Linked DNA regions of Caenorhabditis elegans. The protein of the gene in region 1 purifies or fractionates together with the protein of each later gene. This does not show direct contact. Each region holds a gene or a part of one and is shown in the gene's direction. Other genes may lie near its edges. The genes, in order: chts-1, Y71G12B.13 and cya-1.

Region 1 (5,095 bases):
AGACCAGTAGCATATCTGCGGCAAATGAAGAGATGGAGAAAGAGCTAACGTTGTTATTATTTCAGGTGATCAAACAGTACCGTCTCGCCTACTGACAACGCTTAGCCGACACAACGCCAAACCTGGAGAGCGGAAAGAAAACAGGAGATTTGAAGGGGCCGTGCGGCAAAATGGGAGAGCACTATTCGGATGGTCGACAGTCCGACAGTTGTACCAAAAACATCATGGTGATGCGACTTTTGTTATTTTATTTCATAATAGGTCAGTTTAATTTTATTTTTGAAAATTGATTTCAGTTAAGACTGACAACAATAGAAAGTTGAAGCTTGCGTTATTTTCAGTGTTTAATCAAAATTTCAATGTTTAATCAAGTCAATATTTTCAGCCATTTTGACAAATGACGTGCATTCAATAAAAAAGACTAATGGCCTGATTGGTCAACCTTGTTTGATGAATGAAAAACGAAGATGTATTTCGGAAAATACCGAATGTATTGATGAAATTTGCATGTGTGCAAGTTTTTACAAAGCCGTTGATGGAGTCTGTGTAACTGAGAAAAGTAAGTGGTTTAGTTCAAACCGGAATCGACCAAAAAAATATGGAAAAAGCCAGGTCATTGCGTATTCGAAAATACTCGAGTTGAAAATGAGAGCTATCCAATCTCATTCATATTCTCCTTTTTTACATTCGTCTTCTTCTTTTTTCCTTTATTTCCCTTTTTTTCAGGTAAGACACTCACCCAGCAGTGTCGTATCGACAGCGATTGCCGCGGACCCGGAGAGTTTTGCTCTTCGTTCTCAATTTGTATGTGCCGCAGCTCTCATGTTGATGTCGGCACCCAATGCAAACCGGGTGAGTTAGTGAGAGCAAGTGGACAGCTCATCTTTCTTCTTTTCCTTTTCCTTTCACGGTCTGATTCAAGTAGCCAAATAAGTTAACTGTTTGGGAATAATAATCTGTTGACAAATACGTTCTAATGCAAGTGGCACAGGATGAAGAAATGTAAATTGTTGACTTTATCAATGTTCGGGTTAACTTCTAGTCACAAAACATATGAAACAAGTGTAGTTCGTCAAAATCAACAACGGTGATAATTTTTTATGAGCATATAAAAAGCAAAATAAAAATTACAAGTTATACAATTTATTGAAATCAATCTACGACTGAGAAAAGTATTCTAAATTTATAAGAATGTTTCACTGAAAGTTTTATTTGACAAAATTCAAAATTGAATACACGTGGCAAAATACTCAACAATTTATGGATTTTTGATATTTAAATAGTTTATATTTCAGTAAATACACTATTTTACAGTTTCCACTATCAGTTTATTTACAAAAAATATCATTCATAATTTTTTAATTTGCAGTGGATATCATATCGGGAATAATTCTCAATTTATCGGGAATAATTCTCAACTTCTACATTAAAAAAGTAAAGAGCAAAAGTAAAATATTTTTTGATCCTGTTTTTTTAATTAAAATATTTGATGTAGACTTCCGTATTATGGTTCTAAGCTCTGAATATTTAAATTTATTAAATGCTTATATTTTCTAAATTTCTAATGGATCTGTTTGGACAAACCGTACACGCTAACTAACATCGTCTTTTGACTCGAATTGAAAAAAAAAACTAAATTTAAAAAAAAACACTTGTAATACGACATAGCTTGTTTTTTAGTAATCTACCCTGGTCAGCATGGATGTGAAGACTCCATACAATGCAATAAGGGATTTCCTGGTGCTAACTGCGATGTTAATAGAAACTGTGTGTGCCCTGTTGGTTTTTTGGCAATTCAGCAGACCTGTGTTTCAAATCAGCAAGCAGCACATCACCCGCCAATTCGAAATGGTAAGAAGCGATAAAAAAATCATAACGTAGAAACAGCCGCTGATGAGTCATGCATGCCGGCAGGGACCATGTCTATCAATCATTATAAAAATGAAAGATAACTGCTCTCTTGTCATATGATTCTCAAGTTCTGTCTTTTGCAACCAACACTTTTCGTTTTCATTTTGAGCTTTTCAATTCACTTAAAAATTTGAACCGGCTTAACCATGCGGTTATTGTTCTTAGTGTTTATATTAGCAGGTAAAAAAACTGTTGAAAACAGTCTCAAAGTTTCATTTTAAATTTTCAGAAATAATGTTACAAAATGAGATAATGGCAGATCATCGAACAATCAACCAATCGTTCCGAGGCAACTTTTTCAGAAGGAGAAATTATGATGGGCCAAGAGCATACCAAATTGCTCCAGATCTCACTTGCTCCTATGATAATCAATGCGCAGGGTATCCCTTGGCAATTTGCCACTCAGTTTGTCAGTGCGTAAAGGGAGCATTGAATACAGGAACCACTTGTATCGCATCTTCAACAGGTAAAATATTTATTTTTTTTGTTCTACTACATATAAAAAAATTTAGCCATTCAAACGTCTGTTGCGTGTCCTGCTGGTCAAACTTACATCCGCGAGGCTGGAGTCTGCATGACAGGTATAATTAGTTGAAGATTTGTTTCTTTTTCTAGTTTTGAATATTATAGTTCAACAACCGGGCGAGCCTTGTCAATACTCACAACAATGCTCCGCACTGGAACCAGGAGCGTATTGCTTGAAAATGAGGTTTGATGAGTTTACTAATGTTTTTTTACATATTAATTTTCAGATGTGAATGTGTGTATGGAATGAAGAAAAGCAGTAACGGATGCACATTTGTCAATAATGACTGTAAGGAAAGAGGTCATATTTTTATTAGCGAAATTGGGGAATGTAGAGAAGGTAATATTCAGAAATAATTGGATAAGAATCAAGTTACACTCCTTTTCCAGTTTTCCCTCCTGGGGGCAAGGGATGTTCCCATAACCTTCAATGCTCTGGCGCATATCCTGACGCTACCTGCTTTATGCAAACCTGCACTTGTCCACCTAACTTACCAGTCGCCGCTGATGGAACATGTGGAAGATCCTGTCCAAACAATCAAGTTTACTCCGGTGTCACAGGAGAATGTCTCCCAGGTTTGAAGCCAATAGTGATGAAAATAAAGCTGTTTACTTTTTCAGAGAAGCAACCCGGGCAGGACTGTATTTACTCTTCACAGTGTCAAGCGTCGTTCGGTGGTCTTGTGTGTGACAAAAATACATGTCGGTGTCCGAATGGACTTGTCTTTGATGGACTGAAATGCTCACATGGTTGTCCTCCCCACAAAAGAGTCATTGACAAAGAAATTTGCGTTGAAGGTATGCATGAAATTTGTCAAACATTAAGAATTTCAAATCAAAATTGATTTTAAGGATGTCCATCTGGCATTGTTGAAGTTGCTGGGCGTTGCGTGAAACAAGTTTCAATTGGACAACCTTGTGTTGCTAATGCTCAATGTAATTTTGGAAGCTTCTGTCAAAGTGGAACCTGCCAATGTCCTCCTGGATTTTATGTTCAAGATGAACAGTGCCAAGCAAGTAAGTTTTATACATGATTTCTTATAATTAGTGAAATATATTTGTTTTCAAGTTGAAAGTGAACCTAATGAAAGTTGCCAAAATAACGAGAAATGTACAAAGGGGTCTGTTTGCTATAATGGAAAGTGTTCGTGTCCAAGAAATCACGAGTTGATCAATGGTCATTGCCAGCAGAATCGAGCAGGTAAGTAATGTCTAATGCCTCATCACTCTTTTTACCTTCACTAATCCAGCTGCGCATGCTTATAACACTGCCCTTGAAAACATTCGTAAAATCCGACTTCGATTCGCAAGTCAATCAAAATCACGTAACTCTTCACCTCAACTAACCGATGTAGAGAATGATAATGATACTGGTTTGTTGCTAATATTATCTTTTATCAATTTAAAATATACTTTTCAGTTCCAATCGGTAGTGCTTGCGTCAGAATCGGAGTAACATGTGATGGTGGATCAGTCTGTGTTGCTGGAATATGTGTATGTCCATTAGGTAAAACTCCGAGAAATGGAGTATGCATTGAACATGTAGCAGGTAACATTCTACTTTTCTACTTTTACTTCAATCAACGCATATTCAGCTCGTCCTGGAACTTCCTGTCAAAACGAAGAAGAATGTGTCGATCACAGTTACTGCTCCCCAGAAACCAACAAATGCGAATGTATGAAAGCATCTCAAATGGTCATTGGAGGGGAGTGCCGCGAACGTTTGAAGGCTCATCCAGGATATGGATGTACGATGGGAGAAATGTGTGTCGGAAACTCAGTCTGTGTTAATGGAAAGTGTGCTTGTGTTGATGGAAAAGTTGAAATTAATAAGATCTGCATCGATCAAGTGTCAGCGAAGCCAGGAGATACATGCGGCAAGGGAATTATTTGTGAAGGAGGTAGTTATTGCAACACTGATTCTGGTAAATGTGCTTGTCGCAGAGGAGAGAATTCTATCAATGGTGTAAGTTATGCGTTTTCTGGAGTTGAAAAAGTTAATGTCATGTTTAGATCTGCAAGGGTTTTACTTTTGTCTATCCAGGAGATCTCTGTACGGATATCACATCTAGATGCACGGGAGGTTCTTATTGTGCAAGAGGGCGATGTGAATGCCCACCCAGAATGAGCGCAATTGACAAGAAATGCGTGCATCAGCAAACAGGTAATTTTATAAAATCCTGTTGCTTCATAAAATCTTTAAAATCATTTGTATTCAGCTGCCCCAGGTGAACCATGCTCAGAAAAGGTTGCCTGTTCACCATTCTCAGTATGTGAAAATAACGTGTGCAAATGTGTAAATAACATGATGATCCGGGACAAAATGTGCGTGCAAAGAAGAAAAGTTAATATTGGAAACTCGTGCAACAACGAAGACCAATGCCTTGGAAACTCTACATGCATGGATAACAATTGCCAATGTGGAATTGGCTTTGTTGCCAGCATGGATGTTTGTGTTCTGAGGAAAACTGGTAAGCCGAACTTTTGTTGGTTTTTCAGTCATACTTTAAGATCTCATTGAAAATACTTGATAGGGTGTGAACATATAGCAAAAAATAAAAACTCGATATTTTGTCAGTTGAAAATTTTTGAATAAAACCAAAGACCATCTAGATGCTAAGTTTATCAATAAGAGACAAGAGAAAAAACAAAAATAGTT
Region 2 (7,914 bases), on another chromosome or scaffold:
ACGGATTTCTGGCTTCCCTTATAAATTGAAATGGAAGAGTTTTTGCCGAACTAGTCCAGGCCACCATATCTGGGGTAGATTTACGGCGCGTTGCGTGTCGCGCCGCGGCTCGATTTTAGTTGTAAAACTAAATGTATTTGTCCGTGTGGAGTACACGACTTTCCCACACGTTTTCCGGCGGGCGATTGTCAATGGAGCGCGAAAAATTCAATGAGGAAGGTCAGAACCCCGTGACCTCAAAAACCTCAAAAAAAAGTCTATTTTTCGCAAATTTAGTTGTAAAATTCCCGAGAAAATTGGATTTTTCAGTTAAAAACCCGGATTTTTGCCAAATTTTCAATTAAATATCGATTTTTTTCAGACGACGATTTCGGGTGTGACTATGACGACGATGAAGAGGAGGAGGACGAGGACGAATGCGGCTCGGACTATAATGATGATGACGAGGATTCGGGACAAGGAGAAAATTAGTCAATTTTTTTTAATTTTCTATAATTTTTTCCCCATTTTTTTTCTCAATTTTCTCAATTTTCCAACCTAGAAAAATTCAAATTCATATCAAATATACCACGAAATCTTGGCGCTTCTTTCAAACAAAAAATCTTCAAAATCCGACTCAACTAGTCCTTTTCTCAATGCATTTATATGTACACTTTTGCCCTTCCCAAGCAGCTATCAATTCATATTTGTGTTATACTCAATATTTTTTCGTCTGGAAACAGTTTTTTTTGTCCAATTACACACACACACAGGCTGATCACAGTGCACTTTCAACTATTTTTGTTTTCTATAAATGAAGCCTTCTTTTTTCTAAATTGTCTCGGAAAATTGCAGATTTAGAGTTGAATTCTCAAAAAATAAGTCGATTTAATCCGAAAAAAACATTTTTTTCGCAAGTCTGCATTTTTGCGTCACGGTGTTTGCGGACACTGTAGAAAATAATTTTTTTTGAAGCAAAATCGCAATTTTAACGCATTTTTCTCTTGATTTTAACATATTTTTACTCTAAAAACCCGTGAAAGTAATATTTTTTCTCAATTTCAGCACTCTAGAAAATGAGCAAACGACAGAATCCCGCCGAATTCCTGAAGAAAGTCATCGGAAAGCCGGTTGTGGTGAAGCTCAACTCTGGCGTCGACTACCGTGGCATTCTCGCATGTCTCGACGGGTTAGTGATTGGGAAAAATCAAAAAATCTGATTAAAAACACCTGAAAATTAATTTTTCTTCCAGAAAAATTACGAAAAAATCTAATTTTTCAGATATATGAACATCGCGCTCGAACAAACCGAAGAATACAGCAACGGACAACTTCAGAACAAGTACGGCGATGCGTTCATCCGCGGGAACAATGTGCTCTACATCTCCACATCGACGAAATAACTTTTTTTTGATTTCGATTTATTTTCCAAATATTTTTCCCTTTTTTGAGCTATTTTGAGCAAATTTCTTGTTTGATACGTTTGGATCTCGAATAAATTTGTGTTTTTTTTTTCGCCGAAAATCTGAGTTATTTCGCTCGAAAACAGGCTTTTTCAGCAAAAATCGAGAAATTTCTTGGGTTTCCTCACCGTTAGACGCGTCGCGGTCATGCGTCACGTGCGGTGGGTCTCACCACGATTCGATTTACGGGGAAGCATTTTCGAAAAAAAGAAGACATTTTTAAGTCAATTTATCGCGTTTTCATCGATTTTTCGAGCTTTTCCGGTGATTTTTTCGATTTTTCAACTCAAATTTCGAATTCTACGTATTTTTGTGCCACTTTCACTGCAACAATCGCAATTTTCAGACAATTTTCAAAAGGATAATGCCACCCGGACCACTTCCCGCCTTAGTAAGTTGATTTTTTTTTTGATTTAAAAACTGATTAACTTTTGCTCTCCGAGTGGTAAGTGATAATTTGTAATGATATGCGATCACACTAAGGCTAAACCGCCTTGCGATGATCTTTCCACCCGCACTGGAAAAGGAGAATTAGGCGGTTTTCTGCCGCCCGATATGTGATCGCACATTTCAAATGATACCATTCAAAAACTATACCTAATTTCATAGTGAAAAGACCAAAAGAAGATAAAGAAGAGCAAGAGAGAGAGAGACGTCGCACGAAATCCATCAGTCTTCTGTCCCCCCATCGATTTTCCGAAAATTGAAAAAAAAACAGTTAGTTTCAAAGTTTGAGCGTTTGTGTGCTCATTTTGTGCTCGTTTCTAGCCTTAAAATTTCGAATTTTCCATCAAAAAACTCATTTAATTTCAGATGAAAAGCGAATGGCTCAAGTGTCCGCGATGTAAGACGAAACAGCTCAAGCCAGAGCTCATCAGCACCGAACCCAATGGATCCGATAATATTTGGTGGATATGTGAGGCTGTTCAGGTAGAAATTCATGAAAAACTGAATTTATATTGGGAAACCAGGCAAAAATCGAGCTAAAAATCGAATTTCAGGTTGTTTTGGCTCGTATGAACGGAGAAAATCAGCTTTTCATAGCAATTTAACTGAAAATTATTGTTTTTTATATCAATTTTCGGTGAATTTCCGATGTTTTCGACGATTTCTCCCCTCAATCACTGGATTTTCACAAAATTAACTAAAAAATTCCGGTTTTATTGAATTTCAAGTTCAAAACTTGAAAATTCTGTGGGGAAATTGCTTTAAAACATGCCTATGGTACCACAATGACCAAATATCATAGTAAATTTTTTTTTTAATTTAGAACATTAAAAAAAATTTTACTATGATATTTGGTCATTGTGGTACCATAGGTATGTTTTAAAGCAATGTCTCCTCAGAATTTTCAAATTTTGAACTTGAAATTCAACAAAACGGACAATTTTTAGTTAATTTTGTGAAAATCGAGTAATTTTGAGGCGGAAAAATCGTCGAAATCATCGGAAGTTCACCGGAAATTGATTTTAAAAAACATTAATTTTCAGTAATATTTCATAATCACGCTCTCCTCAAAGCCGGAGAATTATTAGAGCGCGCTTGCTGCGCTTCGCATTTCTGCATCCGCGGTAATTTGACTTTCCACTGAAAAAAGCAGATATTTCAGATTTATCGAATTTTTAGCTTTTAAAATTTTTTAAATGCATCTTTCGAACAAACCTTTTGTTAAACAGTGAAAATCGAAAAATGACTAAAATGAAATTTTTCGTCCACTGGTTGTGAAATGGTTTGAATTTGAAGAAATCAATGGGATTTTTCTTATTTTCTAAATATTTTTCTATTAAAAATCGGTTTTAACCCATTTTTTTGACCCTAAAAGTCACAAATGTTTTAAAACCGATTTTAATAGAAAAATATTTAGAAAATAAGAAAAATCCCGTTAATTTTTTCAAATTCAAACCATTTCACAGCCAGTGGACGAAAAAAGTTCATTTTAGTCATTTTAAATTCGATTTTCACTGTTTAACAAAAGGTTTGTTCGAAAACTGGAGAAAAATTTTTTTTAAAGCTAGAAAATTCGATAAATCTGAAATATCTGCTTTTTCAGTGGAAAGTCAAAATACCGCGGATTCAGAAATGCGAAGCGCAGCAAGCGCGCTCTAATAATTATTCGGCTTTGAGGAGAGCGTGCATAATTACGACTTTTTTAAAAACTAAAACTGCCGATTTTAATCATTTTTTATTTATTTTTTATTTGCAGAAATGTCAATTCCCAATGGATATGCCTCCACACGTCTATCATGTCGTCCAAACTGCCTTCCAAAAGCGTCAAAAATGCATTCCCCTGCCACGCATTGAGAAGCTTCCCGAGAAATATCAATATCTGTATCCCCTGACGTTCGCCAACTCTCGACCGGTCTCCCGTTGCTCATCAGTGGCTGGAAATTCTGAAAATTCTGAAAATCGAGCCGCCAGAAACTCGTTGGACGGGACGACGACGACGACGACTACGATTTCTGAGAAATCCAGTGGTCAGAATAGGCTAAAAGCTGAAAGTCTTCATTCCGAAACTGTTAATAATACAAATACCCCTTCAACGTCTTGCTCGGCAGAAGCTGAGCTTGAAAATCAGAGTATTGATGATGTGGAAATTGAAGAAGAAGAGGCCGTCAGGCCGTGTAGGACTATTAAGCGACGGCTTAATGATTCTGGAAAATCGTGGGCTTCGTTGATAGAAAAAGTTGCGGCCGACTCGAAAGCGTCGAATACTATTATAAATATGGAGGTGAAAATTTGGAACTTTTGAGCTGAAAAAAATTTGAGTTTTCCCGAATTTTTAAGCGGAAATTTGAATTTTCCTGGATTTTTAAACGGAAATTTGATTATTTCCGAATTTTTTAGCGAAAATTTGAATTTTCCCGACTTTTTAGTTGAAATTTAAACTTTCCCAAAGTTTTAAACGGAAATTTGAATTTTCCCGAACTTTTTAACGAAAATTTGAATTTTCCCGAATTTTTAAATCTAAATTTGATTTTTCTCGAATTTTTAAAAGGAAATCTGAATTTTCCCGAATTTTTAAGCGAAAAATTGAATTTTTCCGATTTTTAAGCGAAAATTTAAATTTTCCGAAATTTTTAATCGATAATTTGAATTTTCCCGAATTTTTTAGTGAAAACTTGAATTTTCCTGGATTTTTCATCGATAATTTGAATTTTCTCGAAGTTTTCAACGGAAATCTGAATTTTCCCGAACTTTTTAACGAAAATTTGAATTTACCCGAGTTTTTAAGCGAAAAGTTGAGTTTTTTTCGAATTTTTAAGCGGAAATTTGAATTTTCTCGAAGTTTTCAACGGAAATTTGAATTTTCTCGAAATGTTTACCAAAAGACTGAATTTTCCCGAATTTTTTAGTGAAAATTTGAATTTTCCTGGATTTTTAGTTGAAAATTCGAATTTTCTCGAAGTTTTCAACGGAAATCTGCGTTTTCCCGATTTTTTAGCAAAAATTTGACTTTTCCCGAACTTTTTAAAGAAAATTTGAATTTTCCCGAATTTTTTAGTGAAAATTTGAGTTTTTCCGAGTTTTTTTAGCAAAAATTTGAAATTTCCCGAATTTTTTAGTGAAAATTTCAGTTTTGCCGAATTTTGGAATGAAAATTTGAATTTCTTCAAAGTTTCCCGTATTTTTGAGCGAAAATTTGAATTTTCCCGATTTTTTTACTGGAAATTTGAATTTTCCCGAATTTTTAGTGAAAATTACACTTTTCCTGGATTTTTAATCGATAATTCGAATTTTCTCGAATTTTTAAACGGAAATTTCGATAATCAAAAAATTGGAAGAAAAAAAAATCGCGATTTTCTGGGTTTTCTGGGTGAAATCCTTCGAATTTTTGCTCAATACTGCGAAAAAAACGCAAAAATTTTCATTAACATCTCCCAAAAATCGATTTTTTTTTTCAGGAATCCGAATTATTCCGTCGTATGCAGGAGTTTTTCGATGCTCACTACTTCCAGCGTACTCCGATGACCTATAAGCGTTCAAGAGCGGCTTTACGGTTGGAAATGCTCAACAAATGGCAAAAAATCGATAATTTTAGACTTCCCTATCGGATAGAAGACATTGAAAATTGTCTACAATCAATAACTCGTGAAGATTGGAAAACTGCCCGACGTCGAATGATTAATTTCACTGTAGAAGAGAAAATGGTGGCGAGAAGTGGAAATGCGGATGAGTTGCTGAAAAGTGTTGGAATTGATTTGCAACAAATTAAGAAAGCTGTCGGAGAGAAAGTTGGCAATGTTATGGTACGGATTGAAGAAGAGGAAAAATGACGAAAATCATGGAAATTTTTGAAAAATTTGGCCGAAAAAACGAAGAAAAACCTAGAAATTTGATTATCCTGCGAAGATTTTGCAAAATTTTAAAAAATTTGGCATAAAAAAACAAAAAAATTCGATAAAAACCCAAAAATTTGATTTTCCTGCGACGATTTTGCAAAACTTTACACAAATTAGCCAAAATTCAAAAATTCGCAGAATCTACATGAAAAAATAATTTTTTTTCTCGAAAAAATTGCTTTAAAACGCGCCTATGGGGTCATAATGACCGAATAGCATGGTAAAACAAATGCAAAAAAATTTTCTAAATTTTTTATGATATTTGAAAATTGAAAAAATCACAGTTTTCCCCCTAATTCCGATTCGAATTTCCGCTAATTGAATTTGTTCGATGGAGTGTGCTTGCATTATTTTCATTAATTTTTTAAAAATTTATTTTCATTATTTCACTGATTTTCTTCATTTTTTGGGCGTTTTTAATCGGAAAATGAAAGAAACATACGGGAAAAATGCAAAATGTTTATTAAAAAGTAACTGAAAATGCCTAAAACTCTGAAATTATACGATCCGACGATGACGAGCCTGAAATAAGTATTATTCACAGTTTTAGGCATTTTCAGTTACTTTTTAATAAACATTTTGCATTTTTCCTGTATGTTTCTTTCATTTTCCGATTAAAAACACCCAAAAAATGAAGAAAATCAGTGAAATAATGAAAATAAATTTTAAAAAATTAATGAAAACAATGCAAGCGCGCTCCAACGAACGAGTTCAATTGGCGGAAATTCAAATAGGAATTAGGGGGAAAACTGAGATTTTTTCAATTTTCAAAAATCATATAAAATTTAGAAAAAAAAATTTTTTTTGAATTTTTTTATTATGATATATTCGGTTATTGTGGTATCATAAGCATGCTTTAAAGCAATTTCAAAAAAATCAAATTTTAAATTTAATTTCCGAAATTTATGGGTTTCTGTTTTCAGACATTTTTCTCGAAATTCGCTGAAAAATACAAAAAATGCCGATTTTTCCTAAAATTACGCAGTTTTCGATTTTTTTTACAAAATTGCCAATTTTCCTACAAAATATTTGAATTTTTCCGATCTTTTAGTCAAAAAAAGTCGAATTTTCCAATTTTTTTTTCCACAAAAATTTGATTTTTTCCGATTTTTTACACAGAACAACTTGAATTTTTCTTTTTTATTTTCATTTCGGTCCAAATTTTGCTGCGCGTAAATAATATTTTTTTGATTAATAAAATAAATAAAAAAAAGACGCTAATTTCCTCATTTTTCAGCGCAACTTCAGCCTGGCAAGCCTGGCGAAGCGTCGAAAAATCGAAGAGGATCGTAAAATCTCGGAGAAACTGAAAGCGGAAACCCGTAAGCAGACGATTCATCAATCGGTTTCTGCGAGAATTCTGAACAAGAAGCTTCGACGTGACGAGGAAACGGCAAGATCCTTGACGAGTACACCATCTCCGGCTCCAGCTCCAGCTTCTCAATTCCAGCAGGAGCCGGAGCCTGTGCAATTCCATGTGGGAAATTATGACGAAGAGCCGGAGTACCAGGAGCACCAGGAGCCAGATGCTCATTGGGGCTTTGAATTTGACGATCTCTACGAGAGAATTGATGCTCAGAATCATCAGGCGGCACCACTGGATCCGGCTGATCCACTGGAGGCGATGCTTCTCGGATTGGAAGAAGCTCCGATTATGGAGCAACACCTCGATTTTGAGCCCCAAGAGCATTCGGGTGATGAAGCGGAGCCTGAGAATGATGATGATGATGTTTTTACGGGTTTTAATGTTCAGGAGAACTCGGAATTTGTTAATGATAATTTTGATTTTTAATTCTTCTCGTTTTTTCCCCCGCTTTTTTACTTGAAAATTGGAATTTTTAGATGGAAATTGGCAAAATAGCGGATTTTTAGCAAAATTTTCCCCTGAAAAAAATAAATTCCCTGAAAAATTTAAAAAAAAAACCGATTTGCCGGAAATTTTCAATTCCGGCAAATTACCGATTTGCCGGAAATTTTCCATTCCGGCAAATCGGCAATTTTTCTGTTTGCGGGAATTTTTCAATTCCGGCAATGTTCCGGTTTGCCGGAATTTTTCAATTCCGGCAATGTGCCGGTTTGCCAAATTGCCGGAAATTTTCCATTCCGGCAAAGTGCCAATTTGCCGGAAAAAA
Region 3 (4,893 bases), on another chromosome or scaffold:
TGGTAGAAACACTATTTGGTTCGATTCTATGTAGGGTGTTTCTTTTTTTTTTTTGTTAAAGTTTCACTTTTCTTTTTTTTTTTCCGGATAAAACTTATTTTTTGACAACTTTTAGCCCCTCAAAAAGCTCTGATAAAAGGCTTAGACGTCAGGTCCCAAAATTGAAAAAAAAAGTTCCAAAATTTTTATTAATTTTTTTGTTTCTTTCTTTGTGAAGTTTTTTTTTGTAAATTCGATGAAAATCGAACGTTCCTTATGAAGGCACCCTTAAAGAATACAAGCTGGAGTAAAACCAGTGAGAAAAGCGGGGGTGTGCAAGTGCGCTCCGCTGGCCGGAGTGATTCCAGGTGTGCGATTCCGTTAGCGTCCAGAGGCTTAGAATCTAAAGCAATTGTGCCACATTCTCCAAATTTATAGTAATTTTTATCATCGTCTTGCTCGACCCGCTCCACACTGATAACAATCTCTTCATTTTATTTTTTCCTTCTTCTTCCCGCCGGCGCGTAAATGTTTACAAATGGTGCAAACTCTCTGGGAAACTATCGATGGCGCCTAGAATACCACTAATTAGTCAAGTGGCGCGCAACCTTGGCAAAATCGTCAATGCCAATTTCTACAGGGTAAGCGTGACGAAGCAAGGCGATTTCGATGTCTAATCTCAGGTTAATATCTCAACCGTTATTTTCTCCAACTTTCCACCCTTTTTGATGTTGTGAACGTCGAGATTCCTGACTCTATGACATTCTTTTGAAGTTCCGTATTTTTGGAATATTTTTAAAAAATTAAGCTCGCGAATTCACAAAACTTTCTCAAGGTTATAGAACATTAAAACCCTAGTGAGAGACATATTACTGCTAGATGAGTTTCAATGTTTACCTTGTTTGCAGGTCCCACGCGGATTCTAAAGTCTAATGTGTGCCGATGTGTCATAAAAAACAATAAGAGCAGAGCACCAACAAGCCATGTTTGGCTCCATACGTTTCTTCCATTTTTCTATCGATCAGTTCAGTAGGACCGCTTAAGAGCCTATATACATCTCGTCATATTACCAAAGGCCGGGTTGCGTAATGGATTGCGTTGAACGTTTCCCCCCCCATCGAGGGAGGTCACCATTGCTTTCCACACACCAACACCACACTTTACCTACTAGTTCATATAACTTTTGATATTGATCCAACAAACATTGAAGCAAATTTTGCATTATTTCTCTCTGTCATTCACATTGCTCGGAGCCAGTAATAAGAGAGAGCAACAGGTGGTCTTTCTCCAAAATGAAGATCGCCGAACAGATATTACATATTGCCTGCTCGATCTAATCCTTATATGTATGCCGTTACACGTTATTCAAGACAATTTACCAATCTAAATGTTGTCCCATCTGGAACAAAGAGCATGCCATCTGAAGCATTAGATGGGAAACTGCTAGCAACAGTGACCCCTCCTCTCTCTATCTCTCTTCACCGTCTGTCCTGCCTTGAATGGTCCCTTGCATAACCGTACGCATTGAGCACCTTTCCGCAACATATCGATTAGTCTCTCTTTCTCTAATTGGTTTTCTTTCTCCAGTCATACCATTTTTCATTATTTGAAACTTAATTTCAGTTAAGGAATTAAAAAAAAAATCATTAGATTTATTCTATTTTGTTATTTACCTTTTCCCTTGCCTCATTCTTCGCTGTCACGTGTTTATTCCTTCGCCTGTTTCCTTGATTTTGAAATTAAATCTCTTTTTTACAGATTCCGACACAGCGCACGCGCCTAGGGACCAATTATCAAGCGCTTTTGAGAGCAGCAGATCGCGACGAGTATGCGGTCGGCACTTAGTTTGAAGGTAAGTATTTTCTGAAATTGTAAAAAATATATTTACAATGCGACTGTCAAATTAGTTACATTTATTTATTCGCGATCTTTTTTCAAATTTTCCGCATTTTTCGAGCTCAACTTTACCGAGCTGGTGGAAACAATTTTTTCCGATTTCTGATAAAAATTGGTAAGTGGTGAGTGCGTGAGACGCTGGTTTTTTAACAGTCAAAATGAATTCGATTCCTTTAAAATTATGTTTTTTATATATAATTAATAATTAAACCTATATTTCAGCCGAGCAACGGAAACGCGGCGAAAAGTCAAGCAGTGAACAACAAGAACGTGATCAAAAATGCACCATTGGGAGGAAAATTGACACGTCAAATTGGAACCAGTAATTTGCTTCAACAAGCTCTACCAAGCAAGAAAATAGATGAATCACCAATTATCAAAATAGATGCAAAAGACAGTTTTAAAGTATTTGAGGATCAGGAGCCAGAGAAAGAGAATTCTTCTGAAAATGTTGATGCAACGGAGAAAGATTCTAACGTAATACCTGCTGAGGATAACAATATGATACACGAATTGGAACGAAAGATGGAAGAAAAGGTTAGATTTGAACTCAAAATTGTAATTGTTTATATACAATTTTTTGCAGAGTCGTGCAGAAAAACTGAAGTTCAAGTTCATGCAGACTCGAGACAATAGTGATATCACCTCAAGATTCTCAGAACCACCTTCAGAATTCTCTGTTTTATGTGATGACGACGATTGTGATGTGAGACCAAGAAAATAATATCAGAAAATTGAACTTTTCTTTCAGAAAGTCTCCGTCGCCTCTTCAACCTTCACCACAAGCGTCCGTGCAACCTTCTCATCATTCCATTTTGATGAAAATCAGCGCAAAAAGGAATTTGGAAAAGAAGAAGCTGTGAAGAAGATTCAAAAGAAAGCAGCGAAGGAAGCTCGTGATGATTCAATGTTCAGTTCTGAAGAATTTTTCCCTGACATTATCAAGTACATGTTACACCGTCAAACGAAGAATCGAGCTTCACACGAATGCTTTGACATACAATCACAAGTTAATGAAGAGATGCGAACAATTCTCATCGATTGGTTCAGCGATGTCGTGAAAGAGTACAATTTCCAAAAGGAAACATTTCATCTCGCTGTGAGCCTCGTTGATCGGGCTCTTTCAATGTTCAACATTGATAAAATGCGATTTCAATTGGTTGGAACGACGTCGATGATGATCGCAGTGTATGTTTTTAAATAAAATATTTCAATTGAATGTGAATCTCAAATTTCAGGAAATACGAGGAAATCTTTCCGCCAGAGATTGAAGACTTTGCTCTCATCACTGACAACACCTACCGAGTTCCCGACATTCTTTTAATGGAGCGATTCTTGCTCGGAAAGTTTGACTTCGTTGTTGCAATGCCCACATCATCTTGGTTCGGAACATGTTTTGCCAAGAGAATGAACTTTACAAAGTGAGTTTTAATATCATCATTTTTAGCTCCTGTGAAAAAAATTAGCGATCTTTCTCAATTTTAAACGTTATTTTATTACAGAAAGATGCGGAATACTGTTCATTATCTCCTCGAGTTGTCGCTGATAGATGTCCATTTTCTACGTTACCGCCCATCCGATATTGCAGCTGCGGCTTGCTGCTTTGCAAATCTCCAGGCTGACGTTGAATCCTGGCCACAAAAAATGGTTGACGACACGGGAATCAGTACGGAAGATTTTGTGGACGTGCTGAGGGATCTTCACAGGATGTACCTGAATGCATCAACGGCAGATTTCAAGTCAATATTCTACAATTACTCGGAGACTGCACAAATGGAAGTGGCCCTGTTACCGGCACCTACTGACAAGCTTCGATCGATGTTCCCATCGATCTTTGTCACCGCTCCAAAATCTTCCAACGATAGTAGTAGTCCCCAGTAAATAATCCATGTTATATTCTTGAATTCTCCAAATTTCCCGACTTTCAATTTCATTCCCTGTCTTTGTTTGCCTTTATCGATTACATCTTCTAAAATTCTCCTTTTAAAACTACGATTTTATGTAACAATTCTTTGTATTTGTATAACTCATCCCGACAGGAATCGGAACATACACGGATATGATCCGATATTAAAAATTCCTTTTTTGTGTTATATGTAATAGTATTATCAGTGCTCTCCATCCACCCCCTTATCTGGCTGTTTTACAGCTTTTTCTCCAGTTTTCTTATTTATTTATGATACTCCTGGCTTGGCAACTATGATCTATGATTCCTTTTTGTTCCGAGCCGTAATTTACGCACTGCGCTCATTGTTTTATATTTGTTCCACGATCTCATCTCGTAGTTGCTCTCCCCATCGTTCTTTCGTTTCTCTTTTTCAAAATGTAAATCTAAAAATTTTTATAATCATGATATCAACTGAAATTTTATATTATTTATTGTGCTTTCCAAATGTTAGAAGATACCTTCTTTGTCAAATAAATCTTTTAAATAAAAAAAAACAAATAGTTTAACCGTGATAGTTCCCGTAGTTGGCGTATTCTGGAATTGGAAAATCATTCAATGAATCTGAAAATTGAAACTTACGAGAAACAAAAGCGTCTGCCATTTCTGGATCAAGCTCCTCGATATATGTAGAACAAGACATGTACCAGATTCTGAAAAAAACACTTAATCGAATTAATTAAATTTTTGATAAGTATACGGTAGCTTGTCTCGACTCGACAATTTAAAAAGTAAATTGCAAAAAATAGCGTGCGCCTTTAATAAATACAGTAATTCCCAAGTTATTGCTGCATCCCAATTTTTAGGATTTCATTTACACTAAAATTTTAAATGCAAAGTGTTAAATGAAAAATAGAGACTACTGTATTTTTTAAAGGCACAGCACATTACCCAAACGCGAAATTTTGTGATACACGACAACTTTTGTTAAATGCAAAAAGGAGCGCGTCTTTAAAGGGTACTGTAATCGCAAAACTGTGTATTTGCGAATTTTCCATCGAATTTTCAGAGTATTCTCATAAATTGTTTAAAATTATGAGCTTTTATTGTTATATTTAAGTTTTTGAATCAGA

The links.
Region 2: the proteins of chts-1 (region 1) and Y71G12B.13 fractionate together in Caenorhabditis elegans (co-fractionation; one large-scale study listed by BioGRID). This does not show direct contact.
Region 3: the proteins of chts-1 (region 1) and cya-1 fractionate together in Caenorhabditis elegans (co-fractionation; one large-scale study listed by BioGRID). This does not show direct contact.

What each region holds. Positions count from the first base shown.
Region 1 is NC_003284.9:7,514,745-7,519,839, reverse strand, and holds the start of chts-1 (EGF-like domain-containing protein), read left to right. Parts: upstream 1-2,057; coding exon 2,058-2,091; intron 2,092-2,140; coding exon 2,141-2,377; intron 2,378-2,423; coding exon 2,424-2,492; intron 2,493-2,541; coding exon 2,542-2,620; intron 2,621-2,663; coding exon 2,664-2,776; intron 2,777-2,826; coding exon 2,827-3,012; intron 3,013-3,057; coding exon 3,058-3,234; intron 3,235-3,288; coding exon 3,289-3,453; intron 3,454-3,505; coding exon 3,506-3,637; intron 3,638-3,686; coding exon 3,687-3,809; intron 3,810-3,856; coding exon 3,857-3,985; intron 3,986-4,031; coding exon 4,032-4,402; intron 4,403-4,449; coding exon 4,450-4,600; intron 4,601-4,655; coding exon 4,656-4,907; intron 4,908-5,095.
Region 2 is NC_003279.8:1,700,317-1,708,230, forward strand, and holds the start of Y71G12B.13 (RING-type domain-containing protein), read left to right. Parts: upstream 1-1,788; 5' UTR 1,789-1,806; coding exon 1,807-1,833; intron 1,834-2,255; coding exon 2,256-2,372; intron 2,373-3,645; coding exon 3,646-4,170; intron 4,171-5,344; coding exon 5,345-5,439; intron 5,440-5,481; coding exon 5,482-5,689; intron 5,690-7,019; coding exon 7,020-7,574; 3' UTR 7,575-7,914. Other genes in the region: ubc-3 (UBC core domain-containing protein), read left to right, coding at 362-471; lsm-6 (U6 snRNA-associated Sm-like protein LSm6), read left to right, coding at 1,056-1,168, 1,262-1,382.
Region 3 is NC_003281.10:9,106,117-9,111,009, reverse strand, and holds cya-1 (G2/mitotic-specific cyclin-A1), read left to right. Parts: upstream 1-1,737; 5' UTR 1,738-1,807; coding exon 1,808-1,831; intron 1,832-2,097; coding exon 2,098-2,412; intron 2,413-2,461; coding exon 2,462-2,581; intron 2,582-2,626; coding exon 2,627-3,063; intron 3,064-3,113; coding exon 3,114-3,296; intron 3,297-3,377; coding exon 3,378-3,756; 3' UTR 3,757-4,311; downstream 4,312-4,893. Other genes in the region: dos-1 (Delta and osm-11 homolog protein 1), read right to left, coding at 4,326-4,357, 4,403-4,473. UniProt on the Caenorhabditis elegans protein: Involved in the control of the cell cycle after S phase. May bind to and activate cdk-1 and/or cdk-2 to promote cell cycle progression. Necessary for embryogenesis.